Linked DNA regions of Callithrix jacchus. The protein of the gene in region 3 interacts with the protein of the main gene of each other region in a biochemical or structural test. Links are inferred from orthologs where the notes say so. Each region holds a gene or a part of one and is shown on either strand. Other genes may lie near its edges.

Region 1 (5,589 bases), about 110 Mb from region 3:
GACAGTCCCATCAGACCTGACGTGATTAGGAAAGGTCTAGGGATCATCGGACTTCTAAACCCTCACCCCGACCAATGACTTTACCTGCTTTCTCTTTCCTTTAAACCCTTTAACAGAACCACTCACACATTGGGAATACCACGATTTGTGTTCCACCGTCCCTCGTCCTCTTCCTGTTCAGCGGTGGAGCTGCTATGGGAAGAAGTGGACTGGTTAACCCATAAGCAGAGAGCATCAGGCTCTTGGATCCCTGGAAACTCGCTGCCTCCCTCACTTTCAGGGGCCCCGTTTTCCATCTGGCCTTCCTTGGGCTTTGAACCAGGCATCAAAGGCCCTTGGAAGAGCTCTAGTCAGTGGTGGGGTTCTTAGAACCCACAGTTCTCCTCTGGGGAGGTGGTCGTTGGAGTGGATACCTTCTGGTGCCTGTGGGCCCCATCAGAAGCCCCAGTTGCCATTTGCGATATGAGGTCGCTGTACTGTGCGAGACGGAGTAAGGTACAGGAGCGGTTTAAGCAGCCAGAGACTCTGGGTGTAAACTCAGTTTGGATGCAGATACGGAGGTGGAAGAGCATTCTGGCCTCACGGATGCCTCCAGCTGCTAGAGCCATTGCCGGCCTCTTCGTTCCAGCGGCTGTAGAGGCCTCCCAGCAGCGCTGTCTAAGCAATCACACTGCCTCATCTTGTGCTCCTCTCTCCCCTTAGACACATCTGACCTTCGGGAAGGAGTTCACAGAAGCAGTGGAAGCCAAACAGGTGGCTCAGCAGGAAGCAGAGAGAGCCAGATTTGTGGTGGAAAAGGTGAGCATTCAACCAGATGGCAGGAGCCTCTCCTTCCCCTTTCTCCTGCACTCAGCTTCCCCATCTGCTGGGTGGCCTGGAAATTCATCATCTGTCATCCCTTCTTCCGGGATCATCGGAAGGGGCTTGAAGGGATTGTACTTTTGCAATTGGTTCCAGAGTCTTCAGGGGCTAGTCCAGGATATGTGGAGTTCTGTTCCTAAATCACTGAAAGATAATTCTTCTTCCACTTCTCTGAGATCAAAAACACTCTCTTACAAATAAAAATGTTTCTCCTGGAGTATTTTCAGCTTCACTGAGAAGTCATTTTTAACCGTAGTTACATAGTGAAAGCTGACAGCAAAAAAGATCAAACGTTGCACCAGATGTGCTTTCGTCACTAGATTTTTTTTCTGGTGCTAAATCCATCCAGATGTGTCAAAGATTGTGATGGGACACAGTGTATTTGCTTAGCAGCCTGGTCTCTCTGGTATTTGCAAAGACATGTTTATTTCTTGTTCTCCCTCTTCCCACCACCAGTGTCCCTCATTCGGGGGGAGATGGGTTCAGCAAGAAATAAAAGGGGAAAAGAGGGATAGATTTAATTTTGGAGAATGAAAACTCTGTGTGGGCAGGGACTTGTGTCGCTTTGTGTCTCCTATAACTTCAGAGATTTTAGTAAGTCTAGCACAGTGCTTGGCGATAGGTATGCAGTAAATGTGCTGAGCAAACAGACGTGGGGCCCAGCCATTTCAAAATCATACGAAATTTCAGAGAGACTCAATACTGTCTTCTCCTCACACTCCTGAAGGCCCTGCATTGCAGAGAGCTGTCTTCCTAGTGATATTGATAGGGCAAGTCTAGGAGATCTCACTCTGAATGCCTGGGTTCTGGGCAGGAGCCAGCCTATCTCACAAGCAGCTCTAGGAAGTCACTAGTGTGTGCTGCTCTTTCTTCACCATCCTGAAGTTGGTTGGTTGGGCTGAGACAGCATCTCCCTCTGTGGCCCAGGCTAGAGTGCAATGGCATAATCACAGCTCACTTCAGCCTTGACCTCCTGGGCTCAAGTGATTCTCTTGCCTCTGCCTCTCAAAGTGCCGGGATTACAGGCATGAGTCACCACACCTGGCCCAGTCCTGGCCTTGATGAAGCCCTTTAGACTTGGGACTTGAGGGAAAGATGAGCCTTGAGAATTGATTCCACCTTTCTTTTTCTTCGTTCTTGGATCCTCCTGGCCCAGAGTAGGGTGGTTAAACTAGATTACAATTAATATTAATGAGGACTTTGAAATAAGGCAAATATTCATGCAGGGCATGGTGGCTCACATCTGTAATCCCAGCACTTTGGGAGGCCAAGGCGGGCAGATCACAAGGTCAAGAGATCAAGACCATCCTGGCCAACATGGTGAAACCCCGTCTATTAAAAATACAAAAATTAGCCGGGCATGGTGGTGTGCGCCTGTAATCTCAGCTATTCCAGAAGCTGAGGCAGGAGAATGGCTTGAACCCAGGAGGTGGAGGTTGCGGTGAGCCGAGATTGCGCCATTGCACTCCAGCCTGGGCAACAGCAAGACTGTCTCAAAAGAAATAAATGAATAAATAAATATTCATGCAGCCAACAGAAATGTAACCCTCCCCTTCTGTGTTGAGTAAACATGAAAGGAAAGAGGAGGACTGGGTGGGCAGTGTGCTCACCCGCCCGCCATCAGGAGGAAGTAAACTCCCCTAGTTCCTTCAGGAGCCTGGGAAGGCGGCTTTCTGGTGAATGTCCTTTTTGGGTGGTAGCCTGATAATGCAATTTCCTGAGGGTTGATCTTAGTCTCTCTCCATCTCCATTCTTTTAGGCTGAGCAGCAGAAAAAGGCGGCCATCATCTCTGCTGAGGGCGACTCCAAGGCAGCTGAGTTGATTGCCAACTCACTGGCCACCGCAGGGGACGGCCTGATTGAGCTGCGCAAGCTGGAAGCTGCGGAGGACATCGCGTACCAGCTGTCACGCTCTCGGAACATCACCTACCTGCCGGCGGGGCAGTCCGTGCTCCTCCAGCTGCCCCAGTGAGGGCCCACCCTTCCTGCACCTCCATGGGCCGACTGGGCCACAGCCCCAGTGATTTTTGACACCGCCTTCCTTCTGCCCCCACCCCAGAAATCACTGTGAAATTTCATGATTGGCTTAAAGTGAAGGAAATAAAGGTAAAATCACTTCAGATCTCTAATTAGTCTATCAGATGAAACACTTTCCTTCTTCTCACGTCCATCTACTTTTTTATCCACCTCCCTACCAAAAATTGCCAAGTGCCTATGCAAACTGGCTTTAGGTCCCAATTCGGGGCCTGCTGGAGCTCTGGCCTGGGCACCAGCATTTGACAGCACACAGGTAGGGCAGTGCGTGATGGACTGGGGAGCACAGGTGTCTGCCGGGGTCCACAGGTGGCCTCCATCCTGTCACTGATGCTGCAAGATTTGCGAATGAGGGCACGTGGCTGAACTGAGAAGGCAGGCCTCCATCTTCCCAGCAGTTCCTGCGCAGATGCCGCTGAAGAGAGGTGCTGGGGAGGGGCAGAGAGGAAGCCATCTGTCTCTTACCGTAAGGCTGATTCTCTTTAACTATGTGACCAGCGGAAGCAGGTGTGTGTGAACTGGGCACAGATTGAAGAATCTGCCCCTCTTGAGGTGGGTGGGCCTGATTGTTGCCCCCTAGGGTCCTATAACTTGGATGGACTTGGATAGTGAGAGAAGAGGCCTGGACCGAGATGAGTCCTGTCGAAGACTTCCTCCCTACCCCCTACCTTGGTCCCTCTCAAATACCCAGTGGAATTCCAACTTGAAGGATTGCATCCTGTTGGGGCTGAACATGCCTGCCAAAGACATGTCCGACTGCGTTCCTGGCTCCCCCATTCAGAGACTGCCCTTCTCAAGGGCTCTGTGCCTGTGCTGGGAAGGAAACAAATGTGTGTAAACTGCTGTCAATAAATGACACCCAGACCTTCTGGCTCAGCCGTGGGTTGGTTTTTTTGTTTGTGGGAGCCGTGGGATCAGAACAGAGCATTCTAGCAGTTTTCGTGTGCACATGTTCACATTGCCAGCTGAGACAGAATCTCCAGTAAGGCAGAAAATGCTTTGTTTTCAGAAAACACTTTGTGCTGTGTTCCAGATCCATCCCCAACCCGAAGGGAACCTCCGTGGTAGCCGGTGAGGTTTGTCATGGGTGGGCTTGCAGGTGGTGAGGGTACGTGGAGGGCAGTTCACTGTTCTGTGTTTTGGTGCCGCTACTTATGGAGAGTTACGGGCCTTCCCGCCGACTGCCAGTGACACCTTCCCCCAATGCGAGGGAAGTAAATGGTTGTCGTAAATTACAGGTCCAGTAGAGTAGCCCTCAGTTAGATGGCTTGGGGCGCTCTGCAGTGGGTTTTTTGTGGTGGTGGTGGTTTTGTGGATTTTTTTTTTTTTCTGAGACAGGGTCCCACTTTGCTGCCCAGGCTGGAGTGCAGTGGTGTGAATGTAGCTCACTGCAACAATGACTTCCTGGGCTCCAGTGATCCTCCTGCCTGAGCTCCCTAAGTATTCGGGACTACAGGCAGGTGCCACTATAGCCGGCTAATTTTTGGTTTTTTTTTTTTGAGACGGAGTTTCACTCTTGTTACCCAGGCTGGAGTGCAATGGCGTGATCTCGGCTCACTGCAATCTCCGCCTCCTGGGTTCAGGCAATTCTCCTGCCTCAGCCTCCTGAGTAGCTGGGATTACAGGCATGTGCCACCATGCCCAGCTAATTTTTTGTATTTTTAGTAGAGACGGGGTTTCACCATGTTGACCAGGATGGTCTCGATCCCTTGACCTTGTGATCCACCCGCCTTGGCCTCCCAAAGTGCTCAGATTACAGGCGTGAGCCACCGCGCCCGGCCTAATTTTTGTATTTTTTATAGAGACCAGGTTTCACCATGTTTCCCAGGCTGATTTTGAACTCCTGGGCTCAAGCAATCCACTTGCCTTGACCTCCTAAAGTGCTGGGATTAGCGAGCCACCGCACCCAGCCAGTGGGTTTATACTGCTTATTCTGCTTTGCTCTGACTGAGAGGGAAATTGGAAATGCCTTGGCATTTGCGGGGAGCTGAGTTTGTGCATTTGGATGGTGAGGAGGGAAAGCGGACCTCAGATTGAGAAATGAGCTGTGCCAATCACCCACCCCAAATCCTTTTAGAACAAAGTGAAAACAGTGTGCAGTGAGCACACAGCACTGACTGTGCTTTAACCTCTGCTCTTCATTTATCCCCGAGCTCACCACCTGGCCACAGAGAGGGGTCTTTAAGACTCCACAGGCTGGTCTCTGACCTGGATTCTGAATTTCCTTCCCCAGAGTGATCAGGCCACCACCTGTTAGCTGGGGAAAGGGAGACCCGATGCACAGATTTGGGGGTGGAGCCAGGGATTGAGTTCTCCCAATCCCTGCAGCCCGGCACACATGCCTCCAGGGCCTCCCAACAGCCATCCCAGGAGCAGACAACAGTGTGTGATGGACTCCTGACCCTTCGCTGAACCTCAGACCTCCCTCCCATGAGCCTCCCATCCAGCCCTGCCACCTCCCCAGCATCATTTATCTCCGGCCTTAAGATTATCTCTTCCCACTTTTGCTCTTTTGCTGTAAGACTAGTGAGGCCTTCAAATGATGAGGTGCCTGGACTCAAAGCACATTAAAGACTTCAGAAAGAGCCTAATTCCTAAATAAGTTCCAGACCGGCTTCCACTCTGCGCCCTTCCTCCTTTTCCTGCCGTTTATTGCTTTGGACACCCTTTTGGGGGTGGGAGGGCAGGAGGCTC
Region 2 (7,246 bases), on a different chromosome or scaffold from region 3:
TCACACCCTCAATAGAGGGGGTTATGCTTACCTGCTTATAAAAACCAATTCAATATCATGTTAGCATTTAAGGAGTAAATTAAAGGATTCGCTTTAATAACTCCAACATCAACAACAACAACAAAAAGCTGTCCTTGCTTAAAGCAAAAATTCAAGATTGCTACTATAGTCTGTTTCAGTGCAAATATGAACTCTACAAGTCTTATGCTTCTGACCCTTGTCTTCAAGTCCCTAAACTGGAATGAAACCAGATAAATGCCTGAAGAACCACTTCACACCCTAAACACGTGCAAACTTTGTTCAACAGAACATTTTACTGCCAAAATGGAGTTGGCAGAAGTTTGGAGCAAAGGCCCTCAGGCTGCACGATTTGTTGGCACCAGAGAGCTTAAAATTCTTAACATAATACTGCAGTTTGAGTACTACCAATTTGCTTGAGACTCCTCCTCCAAGTTTGACTTGAGAAAGATGGAAGCTGCCATGAAGAAAGGCTATTAACATTTCATCCTCTATCCAGAAGTACTTTTATTTCTCACTCCTGATTTTCATACCTCTATATTACTTGGTGGTTGCATTTCCACAGTAAATCAAACGGAGTCTACTTTGAAATGCATATAAATTCAATTGTATTGAGTTGCTTGGATAAAGGGACACAGGGAGAACTACTATAAATAAAATTAATTATGACAAAGTTCTACTTAGAAAACACTTGATCCAAATAACCCCCATATATCACAATTTCTTACCATAAAAATGTGGGAGAAATTAAGATATAGAATTACCTGTAAATTGCTATCATTTTACATTTGGTTCAGCTTGCCTTCTCACTTCTGTAAGTCTGAGTGATGGAAGTTTATCTTGCATGTGAACAATTTAGGAAAGCCAGGAAAGAAGCCAAGTGGAGTTCTCTTCAACAAGGGTCAACAATAAAGTCCTGTTTGGAATCTTCATAAGCTTGATGCTGTTAATTAGGAAAAACTGCATCTGAATTTTAAAATTACAGTTGAGTAAAGGCAACTATATAACTCGCAAATTCAAACTTGTAAATGCTTGATAAATATGCAGTACTGAGAAAGGATGGTTTGCTTTGGAAGGTTATCTTGTCCTAAGTTTCAATGAAAGACCAGATTTTAAGATGTTACTTGCTTCTCATACACCTAGAAAGCTTTTTTTCTTGAAACTTTCCAATGTTTTCCCTCCATAGCTCCATGTATTTTAGTAATGTCTTTGATAGATTTTCTGTTTCTCCTCCTCTAGAAGTGCCTTTTTGTAATTCTCAGCTCTGATTTTATATCATAAAGTCACCAGCTTCTAGCCGGGCGTGGTGGCGCATGCCGATTAATCCCAGCTACTCGGGAGGCTGAGGCAGGAGAATCGCTTGAACCCAGGAGGCGGAGGTTGCAGTGAGTACGCGCCATTGCACTCCAGTCTGCGCAACAAGGGCGAAACTCCATCTCAAAAATAAGAAGAAAAAAAATCACCAGATTTTAATCTCCACAATACAGTTGGAAACACTTAGGACAGACTATCCTTTAGGATAAGTTGCAGAAAACTGTACTTTTTGAAGAATATTTATATAGTAGTGCTGCCACCTAAAGATGAGGTGAACCAAAAAGCAATTCAAAGGAAATAACCTATCACCCTTAAGCCAGTCTCTTTTTCTCACCTCCAGCTAGGAATAAGCTTGTTGTTGCTGTTGTTAATGCAAGTTGAACTGTTTCGCAATAACTTATTGCTGAGCTGTAATTCTCTGTGGCAGAAAATTTCAGACTCAAACTTTTCTAGTCCTCTGAAATTCTTCTCAGCCATCAGGTACTGCCTACAATACATAAGGGCCGGGAGCAAAAGATACTTGGAAGTAAACAACTGAGAGATTTCTGGTTTAGTGGATAAAGCAGGCAATAATAGATCTTAGACTTTTCCCTCTATCAGTGACTGACTCCTTGCAACACTGAACAACTGACTTACATTTCGATAACTCAGTTTTCATCTGTAAAATGGGATTAATTACACCTTAGTCCCACTTGCCTCGCAGGCTCAATTAGATATGCTTCTTGGAAAAGATCCTCTAGGAAGTAAGTTTAAAAGTCCACTATTGCCTAATAAAGGGGCATTTTGTGGTGTATTTGCAAAGTAACTTTAAAACAAAATACACTAAGTTAAATAGGTTGAGGCAATGAATAAGTGTTCCTAAATCACAGTTTGACTTCCCGGAGGTCTATTTAAATAATGATAAAGATTATAAAGGCAGTTCCTATTTATTTTGCAGCAGTTATTAGCTGACCCACGTTCCATCTATGTACTCAGTGTTGCAGGATGGAAACGTGACAGCATAGGCGGCGAGGAAAACCGTTACCGTGCACTAAAATCTTGTCAAACTTGATACGATTTCAAGAAAACTGTCTTAAAGATGATAAATCTTTAAGACTGTCTGAAACACATCTTATAATTCTACATTTTGTCCTTGCATAGCAATTTATGAAAATTAGCTTTTACTCTTTCCCCCTCGGCTCAAGGAAGTCGCATTCCCTCAAAGGGGCCCGGCTTCAATATATTATACTGCGTGGGAGGCTGGGCAGCAACCCCACGCTTCCTGTCAAGGATTCCTGGGGCCAGAGCCTGAAAAGTGGTCTAGCCTCTCTTCTTCATGCTAATTCTGTCCTTCCAACCCCTCTCGGCGGGTGTCTGAAGGCCAAGGTGAGACTTCCCGGGAGATGAAAGGCCTATTGCCTCCTCAGAGACCCGGGCGGAGTTGGGGCGGGGGTGCGGCATGATCCGGTGGCAGCGGCAGCCGCAACGACGCACAGGGACCTAAGTTGGAGCTGGCGCAGGCCCTTCAGGGTTCTATCCCCGCCTGAGCCTGGCTTCGGCCTTCAGAAGCCCAACGAGGAATAAGTCTTCTGTGGGCGTTACGGACGGTGGGTGGAGGAAGTGTGGGCGGAGAGGCCACAGACAGCCCCCTCCTCAGACGCGCCCCAAGGCCTGTGCCGCGGAATGTCTACGCGCCAACAGTCGAGAGGGCGCGCTCACGCGCGAGAAGGGGGCGGGAAGAGCGCGCTCAGCGGCCGCCGCGGCGGCAGCTAAAACGATGGGACGCGAGAGCGAAGGGCGCGAGCCGCGGAGTGGGGAGGAGGGGTGGGGAACGCGGTGCGCGCGCTGACGTCGCCCGGAGTCACGCACGGAGCGCCGGGTTACGCGCCGACGTCTGGCTGCCACGACTTGCCGTCTGCGGCGGCGGCGGCGGCGGTGAGCGGATCCCGCAGGGGAAGGAGGAGGAGGAGGGAGAGCCAAGGGGGCTGTGAGTGAGCGGGAGAAGCAGGGTGTGAGCCGGACTTGCCCGCGGGAGGGAGAGCGAGCGAGAGCCGAGCCTGCCAACAGAGCCGCCTCCTCCTCCTCCCCTCGGCGTCCCGCCCCCGCCTGCCAGCCCGCCCTCTTCCCTCCTCAGCCCGCAGAGCCCAAGTGAGGCGCAGCTCGGCTAGCGCCGCTGTCCAGGACAGGTGTGCGCGCGCGCGCCCTCCTCCCCTCCCCCCTTCCTCGCGCCGGCCTCGCGCGCGTCCTCCCTCCCGCCAGCCTGCGCCCTCCCTCACCTGCGGCAGGACAGCGCCCGCCCGGGTAAGCCCCTCGCGACCTTCCCTGCTGCCACTGCCACAGCTCGAGGTGCCGCCCGCCCCGTCCCTCTACTTGCCCTCTCAGCCCAGAAATAATTATAGTACCATTGCAGACATCCCCGCACCCTCCCTCTCGGAGATCCAGGCGGTGCAGCAACGTTCTCCCCCACCCCCCGCAGCGAGAAACGAATGAACCCCCTCCTACTTCCAAAAGAGAACAAAATAACACGCTCCTTAAGAAAAGAGACAATCCTACCTCCGCAGGCGCTGGAGACCACCAATGATGCGTTTGCTTAGCAATCCCTGAGCCCCATTTCCCCTGGCCGCCTTCTCCCTGGGGCCTGGGACTGTGCGCTAGACGTGGCTGACACTCCCTGCACGGCAACCCTGGGAGGAGGGAGAGGAGGGAGAGTTCTATAACCCAGGCTTTACTGCCAACCCCTCCTCTGTTCAGCTCCCCCCATCCCACCACCACCAAATGTATACACCCGCCCAGGATGCGCTGTAAAAACAAAACAAAACCAGAAAAAAACCTTTGCTGCTGACATCGCAGATGAAGCCAGGCCCAAAGATGGGTGACCCGAACAAGGCATTTTTACTGCCCCACAGCGCTGGGTCAGCTCCACAGCTCCTCTGCCTTTGTCCGAGGGCAAGAGGAACGGATGTGAAGCTGAGGGGTCTTCTCTGTGAGCGGCAGTGGACCCCGGAGGCGGGCTGTGATGTATGTAGGGGAAGGCACCCACCAATATATCTGCCATAAACCTGAACTCGGGTTGGAGAGGCCCAAGAGACTGGCTGGGGCAACTCCGGTTCGTAGCTGTCTACCCTGGAATAAATGCCACGTTCTTTTCCGCGGTGTCTGCGGGACCCTCTGTTGAGGGTTCTAATTCGTTTTGGTCTGGGCTCCTTACGTTTCTGTCCGACCAGGCGCTTTTGGACAGCTTTTCGCAACGGTGTCTATGCTTGTGTTCGGTGTCCTTGGAAGGGAGGTCCCAGAGCTTTACAATAGGCTGGATTTGGTTTGACATCTTTTGGTGGACTGTCAAAGGGGAAAGGAAATTTTTGGATTACTTCAAGATCCCCCACCGCCCCCGCCCAACTGACGTTTGCGAATTGCGGCTTTGAAAATAGGAATGTTGACTAGAGTGTGGAGAGAGTTGCTGATTTCATTGCTTTGAGTACTAGTAAAATCATTTAAGTATCAACCGGAAGGGAGAGAGCTATTGACATTTACATCGGTTCTGTTTGGACCTTTGGGGTACATAAAATGTCGGGTTCTCTGACTCTTTTATCGAATTTAGAATGCCTGCTACATTTATTTAACTCTTCTGCAAATGCTTAAAATGAAAATATTTTGGAAATGCAAGAATTTTTGTCATGTGGATTGTTCTCTTCATATTTTAAATGTTTACTTCATATCTTTAATCCTAAACATTAAAATATCATTGAAGAGGCATGATTTTCAAGATTAAGTGAGCTAAAGAAAAGGGATACGCTTTTAAAGAACGATCCGGGAAATGCTGTTACTATTAGTCGTTGTTGTTGTTAAATGTTAAGATTTGGGAGTTTCCTCTTTTTTGGTAGATACTCGTGAGAAGACATGGCTCATTCCTCCACTTTGAACGTTTGCAGTACAACATTCCAGTTAGTTTTAATGAGTTGGGTATTGAAGATAGTTGTCTGGTTTAAGACTGGTACTTAACCTAAGAACTTGAAAACACAAGCGCTAATGTTCTTTATTTTGGAAATTTGTGATTTTGTAAAATATTAATCAACATATTGTTTCTATTAGGAACTCTATAATAAAAAGGGTTACTACCCAGAGGGAGACAACCTCTTTCTAAGCCTATTTTATAAATGTGTGTTGATTTTTACTTTATAAAACCAAAGCTGAATTAGATTATTTCAGAATCACCTGTAGTTTAGGCTGAAGAAAATTAAAGCTTTTTTCCCTTTTTGTTCTGCCTAATGTCTATTTCTTTGCGCACAGTTTTTTGTTGGTAAGAGTTTGTTAAATACCCAGAGATAGTGGGATTAAAAATAAAGCAGTCTCTATTCTTTTTGAAATGTGTCTGTTGTATTAATAATAAAAGAGCTCAAGAAATCCAGAGACATTATGTCTTTAAAATGTAAGCAAATTTTGAGGAGAAAGGAAATGTTTACTTTTGATAAGTTTTTCATTAACATGGATTTTTGCTGCATATTAATTTGCTGTATATTATATTTCGTTTTCCCTTTGTCTTTCCTACATTGTAATGAAATTACACATTTAGTTTTACAACTATTTGTTTTACAGTAACAAATTCAAACAGCTGGATACTAGAACAGACTTTTCATTCACCAAGTTAGTGTATTGTTTAGATAATTAACAAATGGTTAGAAGTCTTAAAATCCACTCATTTTCTAATGACTTTTCAGTGTTACAATGCAAATATAACTGTGAAGTTTTACTTAAAGTTTAAACTTTTTAAGACTTTTCTGAAAGTTTATATTCATTTCTCCCAAGGAAAGCTGCCTTTCACCTCCTTAGTCTGAGAAAAAACCCACACTTAAAGGCTTATCCTGATATTAACTCTCGTTTCAATAGTGAAAATATGTGAAATATCCTATTTATCATTGAATTATTTTGGAAATGCCATGTTAATCTTGTTTGCTTTTCAGAAACATGTATAAAGTAAGAGAGAAGCTGGCATATAAGGGAAAAGTTTTATACATAGATAATGAATAGCATAAAATAAGTACATATTTATGTGGAGAGATCTAGGTCTCAGTCATTTGCTGATTTGAGCTTAAAATTCTTAGTTTAAGTGTACACATGATGTACAATTTGTGTTCTGTCTAGAAACTTCATAATTGGCTTTGCGCTGGGGAACTAAGAAGTCAGTTGTTGGTGGCAGTCACTTTTTCAGAAAAACAGGGTACTTCCAAACAGATCACTTCGGAATCCCTATATATAGACGTCTAGGACAGAGGGCAAGAAAATTTAGACTGGAAGTTGGGATAGGACGGAAGGCATTTTCGAGTCTTAGTCTTCTGTCCTGGGGGGCCGCAATCAGCACAGAAGAAAGGCAGGAACTGGCAGGGGGTGGGTGGGGCCCTCAACGTATTCTCTTTGGCTTTGTTGCTGCCTTGAATTCTCATTAGGGAGCGGGGGCTTGGTTTGATTCAAGGTAAACTCTAGAGGAAGAATAGCAGCCCTTCTAGATTGGATTTTACCAGATCTTAGCCTCAGTTTACTAGCAAAGCGCAATGCCCTACTCCATTCTCTGTGGAGATCCTGCTACTCAGCCTTTTTGTTCCTGGAGGGGCTGGGGTCTATCCAGGGTCCTGATTGCCACTGTTTGAGCCTGGCGGAGCTACTGCTTCTTCATACATCTATTTCTGTGTAGTGGAAAGTGCTTCAAAAGTTCTGTCTCCCATTCCCAGTAGACTTTGGGACAGGAGAGGGAGTAGAAAAATCAACACGGAAATGATAATACGTGGTACTAAAGGTTGCCCCCAAAGTGGGCAAGTTCTTTATGGAGCCCAAAGCCTGGGTTTTTAATCTCTTGGCGTGGGCCTTAACTTCAGGGAGCCATTTCAAGGACCACTGGACATAGGTGGGGTGTTTTGGGTCCGGTGCACAGGACTGCCCCCCG
Region 3 (6,721 bases):
TTGCCTTATCTGGAAAAAGGCCATTATTATACTGCCAGGCCACTGCATGGAATGAACTAATGTATGCAAAGAACCTGATGAGTACCAGCTGCCACCATGTGTATAAATTAGTCAAAAACCAGAGGGAAAGTGACTTGCCCAAGGGACTTATGTAGTCAGTGGCTTAGCTGGGCACAGTGGCTCATGCCTGTAATCTAGCACTGGCTATGGTGAAGGCTGAGGTGGGAGAATTGCTCAAGCCCAGGAGTTTGAGGCCAGTCTGGGTAACATAGGAAGACCCCATCTCTACAAAAAATACAAACATTAGCTGGTCATGGTAGCGTGCGCCTGTGGTCCCAGCTACTTGGAAGGCTGAGATGGGAGGATTGCTTGAGCTCAGGATGTTTGGCTGCAGTGGGTCATGATCGTACCACTGCACTCCAGCATAGGCAACAAACTGAGACCCTGTCTAAAAAAGAAAAAAAGTGGTGGCATTAAAAAAAAAAACCTGGCCGGGCGCGGTGGCTCACGCCTGTAATCCCAGCACTTTGGGAGGCTGAGGCGGGTGGATCATGAGGTCAAGAGATCAAGACCATCCTGGTCAACAAGGTGAAACCCCGTCTCTACTAAAAATACAAAAATAAGCTGGGCATGGTGGCATGCGCCTGTAATCCCAGCTACTCAGGAGACTGAGGCAGGAGAATTGCCTGAACCCAGGAGGCGGAGGTTGCGGTGAGCCGAGACTGCGCCATTGCACTCCAGCCTGGGTAACAAGAGCGAAACTCCGTCTCAAAAAAAAACAAAAAAAACTTTATTATATAGTTTTTGTGGGTCAGGAATTAAGGGAAGACTTAGCTAGATGCTCTGGCTTGGGGTCTCTTTGGAGATTCAGCCAGTGTTTGGGTCCTGGCTGCTAACAGAAGGCATGACTCAGTGTTGCTGTTGGGAGGAGCTGCGGTTTCTTGCCCATCATTAGGGCTACTTGAGTGTCCATATGACATGGCAGAGTGAGTGACCCAATACAGAGCAAGGAGGAAGCTCCAGTTCCTCTGACTCAGTCTCAAAAGTGACACTCCATCTCTGGTTCATACAGGGAGGATTATTAGGCTTCATCTTTTGAAGGAGAAGGATCAAAAAGTTTGCAGATGTGTTTTAAATCCACCACGAGACCCCAGAGAAGTAGTGATGGAGCTGGGACTTGAGCTCAGGTCTTCTGCCTTCTGCGGTTGAGTGTCCTGTGTGGAAGGACTATGACTCTCAGGCTGTGTCCCCTCTGATCTCCCTCAGTCACACAGTCAGGCATCCTGCTACAGAAACTGAGGTGGGGGTAACCCAGAGGTGCCTAGCCCTCAGCCAGGTCTCTTCTGGCATCACTCCTGGTTACTGGGCATCCTCCCATTGTTTTCACTACAGGTGAAGCGGAGGCTGGACCTGGAAACTGACCATCAGTACCTGGCTGAAAGCAGTGGGCCAGCTCGGGGCAGAGGCCGCCATCAAGGAAAAGGTACCCACGGAGCTTGGGCTGGGCAGGCCCCCTGTGACCAGGCCCGGGTTGGGGGTGTGAACAAACAAACATGCTTTCAGGCTAACGTCTTGGTTCATTGGGCTTGAGCCAGGCCTCTGGGGACCCTGATGGGCAGCTGGAGTCGCTGCCTGGCTTGGTTTACCCCAGCCCTGAGGGTTGAGGAGTTCCCCAGTCAGAATAAGAATGCTGTGGTTGACCTCACCAAGGGGAAGGGGCTGGCTGTCCCCCGGCCCCCATCATCCTGCTGTCCTGCACTGCCACAGAGGCAGGCCTGGCTGGAGGTGGGGTGGATGCTGGAGGGCCCTACTTGCTTGACCACACCCTTACAGGTGTGAAATCCCCGGGGGAGAAGTCACGCTATGAGACCTCACTGAATCTGACCACCAAGCGCTTCCTGGAGCTGCTGAGCCGCTCTGCTGACGGTGTTGTCGACCTGAACTGGGCTGCCGAGGTGCTCAAAGTGCAGAAGCGGCGCATCTATGACATCACCAATGTCCTCGAGGGCATCCAGCTCATTGCCAAGAAGTCCAAGAACCACATCCAGTGGCTGTAGGTACCGGCCACACAGGAGGGCAGGCACACCTGCCCATGCCAGCCTGGAGGAACTGTAGCAGTACCCACTGTGGGCTGTCTGCATCCACATGTTACAGCTGGGGAAACGGGCTCAGGGAAGAGAGGTAGCTTCCCTGAGATGATAGATGCTAAAAAGCACACAAATCTTACATATCCAGCTCAGTTACAGCTTTATTTATTTATTTAATTTTTTAAGATGGAGTTTCACTCTGTCGCCCAGGCTGGAGTGCAGTGGCGTCATCTCAGCTCACTGCAACCACCACTTCCCAGGTTCAAGTGATTCTTCTGCCTCAGCCTCCCAAGTAGCTGGGGTTATAGGCACTTACCACTACGCCCGGCTAATTTTTGTATTTTTAGTAGAGACAGGGTTTCACCATGTTGGCCAGGCTGGTCTCAAACTCCAGATCTGAGGTAATCTGCCTGCCTTGGCCTCCCAGAGTGCTGGGATTATAGGCGTGAGCCACTGTGCCCAGCAGAGCTTTACATATTTATTCATCTGGGTTACCACCATTCAGATCAAGATAGAAGCATTTCCAACACCCCAGAAGGTTCTCTTGTGCCCCTTTCCAGTCACTGCCAACCCCTCACACCACCAGGTGACCACTCTTCTGGTGTCTTATGCCCTCGGTAAGATTTGTCTGGCACGGATGTTTTCTTTTTGTACTTGTTTTATTTTCCCCTTCTTGCCTTTGCCCTAGTCATCCTGCTACCCTCTCTTTGATACACCTGCCTTTTCATTTTTTGGTAGATTGTTCCATTCTACATCTTTTATGTTTTTTTGAGGGGGTGGGGGGCAGTTTGAGACAGGGTATTGCTCTGTCACCCAGACTGGAGTCTGGAGGCACAAGTAGAGCTCACTGCAGCCTCAACCTCCTGGGCTCAATCCTTGTACCTGTAGCTAGGACTACAAGTACATGCCACCATGCCTGGCTAATTTCTTTAATTTTGTGTAGAGGTGGGGTCTCACAGTATTGCCCAGGCTGGTTTAAACTCCTGAGGCTCAAGCAGTACATCCTCTGACCTCAGCTTCCCAAAGTGCTGGGATTATGTGTGAGCCACCAAGCCCAGCCCATTTTTTTTTTTTTTTTAATTTGACAGCATGACTTGGAAATGCTTGTATGTATGTGTCTAGAGCATGCTCATCCTTTTATACAACTGTAATGTTTCATGACATGTCGATGCCATCATTTATTTATCCTGCCCTGGTTGAGGGACATGTAGGTGTTTATAAATATTCGGGCCAGACTTCAAGCCCATGACACACTGATTTGGATCCCAGCTGAGGAGCCAGACCCAGAGAGAAGCAAGGGCTTGCCTGGGCCTCGCAGAACAGAGGCAGCAGCAGATGGGGTCCTGAGCGCCAGAGGGGCCAGACGATGCTAACCCTACCCTCCCTGGTGCCTCCCCACAGGGGCAGCCACACCACAGTGGGTGTTGGTGGGCGGCTTGAGGGGCTGACCCAGGACCTCCGGCAGCTGCAGGAGAGTGAGCAGCAGCTGGACCACCTGATGAATATCTGTACTACGCAGCTGCGCCTGCTCTCCGAGGACACTGACAGCCAGCGATATCCTTGGACTGGCCGGGGGTGTGGAAGGCAGGCTTAGTGCGCAGGGGTCCCACCCAAGTGGGACTAGAGAGGCTACCCTGGGCCCTGGATTCCGGAGAGGATGCTGGTTTTGGTTGCAAGTTCTGGCTCAGCATTTTCTCATTGTGTGACACTGGATAAATTGCTTAACCTCTCTGGGCCTCAGTTTTAGCTATAAAAGGGGGATAATAATATCCAATTCTGAAATTGTACAGATTAAAGCAGAAAAGTGGCTGGGGTGGCTCCTGCCTGTAATCCTAGTGCTTCAGGAGGCTGAGGTGGGAGGATCACTTGAGCCCAGGAGTTTGAGGCTGCAGTGAGCTCTGGTTGAGCTACAGCACTCCAGCCTGGGTGACATAGTGAGAACCTGCTTCTAAAAACTAAATAATAAGTTCCCAGCAGCAGGCCTGCAGTTGTGTTGAGCATTTTACATGGAATTGTTCCTGGTAGCCATCATCATTACTTTGGGATTCAGTTGGTAGAATAGTTCCATTGTACAGATGTGGAACTTGAAACTTGGGAATGAGGTGGCTTTTGAGCAGATGGGGGGGTTGAGAAGACAGGAGTGACTAGGGAGGTGTGAGCCCTGCCTTGTGAAGGTCCTTTGTGAGTTGCTGGAGTGAGTGACCCTCAGAAGTCAAAGTTCCTGTGGTCCTTGACTCTGCCAACCCTGGCCTATGTGACGTGCCAGGATCTTCGTAGCATTGCAGACCCTGCAGAGCAGATGGTTATGGTGATCAAGGCTCCTCCTGAGACCCAGCTCCAAGCTGTGGACTCTTCGGAGGTGAGATCTGGAAACTCTAGGCCCAACTGGGCTGGGCTGGGCTGGGCTTGGGGTCACCTGGGCCTCAGTTTACCCTGCCTGCTGCTTCCACCCAGACATTTCAGATCTCTCTTAAGAGCAAACAAGGCCCCATCGATGTTTTCCTGTGCCCTGAGGAGACTGTGGGTGGGATCAGCCCTGGGAAGACCCCGTCCCCGTCCCGGGAGGCTGCTTCTGTGGAGGAGAACAGGGCCTCTGACTCTGCCACCATAGTGCCGCCACCATCATCATCTCCCCACTCATCCTTCGCCACAGATCCCAGCCAGTCTCTGCTCAGCCTGGAGCAAGGTGGGTGATGGGTAGGTGGGTGGGGTGGGAAAGGGCCACTCTTCTGGGGGGCGGGCAGGCACGACAGCCCCTGTCTTCCTCCCTGCTGGGGCATCCCCGGCCTGTGATGCTCCCCGTCTCCCCAGAACCACTGTTGTCCCGGATGGGCAGCCTACGGGCTCCCATGGACGAGGACCGCCTGTCCCCGCTGGTGGCAGCCGACTCGCTCCTGGAGCATGTGCGGGAGGACTTCTCCGGCCTCCTCCCTGAGGAGTTCATCAGCCTTTCCCCACCCCATGAGGGCCTCGACTACCACTTCGGCCTCGAGGAGGGCGAGGGCATCAGAGACCTCTTCGACTGTGACTTTGGGGACTTCACCCCCCTCGATTTCTGATGGGGCTTGGAGGGACCAGCGTTTCCAGAGATGCTCACTGTCTCTGCAGCCCTGGAGCCTCCTGTCCCTGGCCATCCTCCCAGCCTGATCGGAAACATTTAATTTATACCCCTCTCTCCTGTCTCCAGTAGCTTCTAGCTCTGGGGTCTGGCTACCGCTAGGAGGCTGAGCAAGCCAGGAAGGGAAGGAGTCTGTTTGTGGTGTGTATGTGCATGCAGCCTACACCCACACGTGTGTACCTGGGGTGAATGTGGTGTGTGAGCATGTGTGTGTGCATGTACCGGGGAATGAAGGTGAATATACACCTCTGTGTGTGCACTGCAGACACGCCCCAGTGTGTCCACATGTGTGTGCATGAGTCCATGTGTGCGCGTGGGGGGCTCTAACTGCACTTTCGGCCCTTTTGCTCTGGGGGTCCCACAAGGCCCAGCATAGTGCCTGCTCCGAGAATCCGGCGCTCTGACCAGGCCAGGTGGGGAGGCTTTGGCTGGCTGGGCTTGTAGGACGGCGAGAGCACTTCTGTCTTAAAGGTTTTTTCTGATTGAAGCTTTAATGGAGCGTTATTTATTTATCGAGGCCTCTTTGGCGAGCCTGGGGAATCAGCATAGGGGAGGAGGGGTGTGGGGTTGATACCCCGACTTCCTCTACCCTTGAGCAAGGGCAGGGGTCCCTGAGCTGTTCTGCCCCACACTGAAGGAGCTGAGGCCTGGGTGATTTATTTATTGGGAAAGTGAGGGAGGGAGACAGACTGACTGACAGCCATGGGTAGACGGATGGTGGGGCAGGCCCTCTCCAGGGGGCCAGTTCGGGGCCCCAGCTGCCCCCCAGGATGGATTTAAGATGGGAGAGGTGAGTGGGGGACCTTCACTGATGTAGTGGGCAGGTGGGGTGGTGACGGCCTCCCCCCCCTCCCCGCCCAGACCTGTGGTCCCTCCTGTGGTGTCTGAAGCGCCTGCCTCCCCACTGCTCTACCCCACCCTCCAATCTGCACTTTGATTTGCTTCCTAACAGCTGTTCCCTCCTGCTTTGGTTTTAATAAATATTTTGATGATGTTTGGGCTGGGTTTTGGGACTCTGTTGGGAACAGTTCGGGGCGGGAAAGGCCAAAGTTGCTGGGGAAATGCGCGTTCTCCACTTCCCTTCTCCCGGATTTGATTTGAGCCTCATAATTCTAAGAAAGGTCAGCTTCATCGCTATTTTGGTCCTAACTGAAAAGCCGATCCAGTAAAGGTTTTTGCTGTAGAAAGCCAAGAATGCTAGTCAGTGCTGCCCAAAGTGCAGAGTAATGAGTGACCTCTTCTCCCCAGCCCTAGAGGCCACTGTGCTCAGTTTGCTATCTTCCTTCCAGACGCTTCTGGGCCTTAGTAAACATGCAGCAAATACCATGGACTGGTTTTGTGTCAGGTATTTAAAATTTCTGGGGACACAGGTGTTACCTCCCTTCATGGTGCTCTCAGGGTCCAAAGGAGATTTGCACAAATGAAAAATCAGGAAAGGCTTCCTGGAAAGGGTGGTGCTTGAGCTGAGCGCTGTAGAATAACCAGGAGTTAACCAGAGTAAGAAAACACCAAGCAC

What was found.
Region 1: the proteins of E2F1 (region 3) and PHB1 form a complex in vitro, tested with the Homo sapiens proteins (2 studies listed by BioGRID). The link is inferred for Callithrix jacchus from reciprocal best matches to the Homo sapiens genes E2F1 and PHB1.
Region 2: the proteins of E2F1 (region 3) and PURA form a complex in vitro, tested with the Homo sapiens proteins (2 studies listed by BioGRID). The link is inferred for Callithrix jacchus from reciprocal best matches to the Homo sapiens genes E2F1 and PURA.

The regions. Positions count from the first base shown.
Region 1 is NC_133506.1:116,901,161-116,906,749, forward strand, and holds the end of PHB1 (prohibitin 1), read left to right. Parts: intron 1-702; coding exon 703-798; intron 799-2,620; coding exon 2,621-2,833; 3' UTR 2,834-3,771; downstream 3,772-5,589.
Region 2 is NC_133503.1:38,473,304-38,480,549, forward strand, and holds the start of PURA (transcriptional activator protein Pur-alpha), read left to right. Parts: upstream 1-3,188; 5' UTR 3,189-3,497; exon of another isoform or gene 3,498-3,612; intron 3,613-7,246. UniProt on the Homo sapiens protein: This is a probable transcription activator that specifically binds the purine-rich single strand of the PUR element located upstream of the MYC gene. May play a role in the initiation of DNA replication and in recombination.
Region 3 is NC_133506.1:5,618,763-5,625,483, forward strand, and holds the end of E2F1 (transcription factor E2F1), read left to right. Parts: intron 1-1,392; coding exon 1,393-1,483; intron 1,484-1,833; coding exon 1,834-2,053; intron 2,054-3,488; coding exon 3,489-3,641; intron 3,642-4,331; coding exon 4,332-4,446; intron 4,447-4,541; coding exon 4,542-4,773; intron 4,774-4,898; coding exon 4,899-5,146; 3' UTR 5,147-6,201; downstream 6,202-6,721. UniProt on the Homo sapiens protein: Transcription activator that binds DNA cooperatively with DP proteins through the E2 recognition site, 5'-TTTC[CG]CGC-3' found in the promoter region of a number of genes whose products are involved in cell cycle regulation or in DNA replication.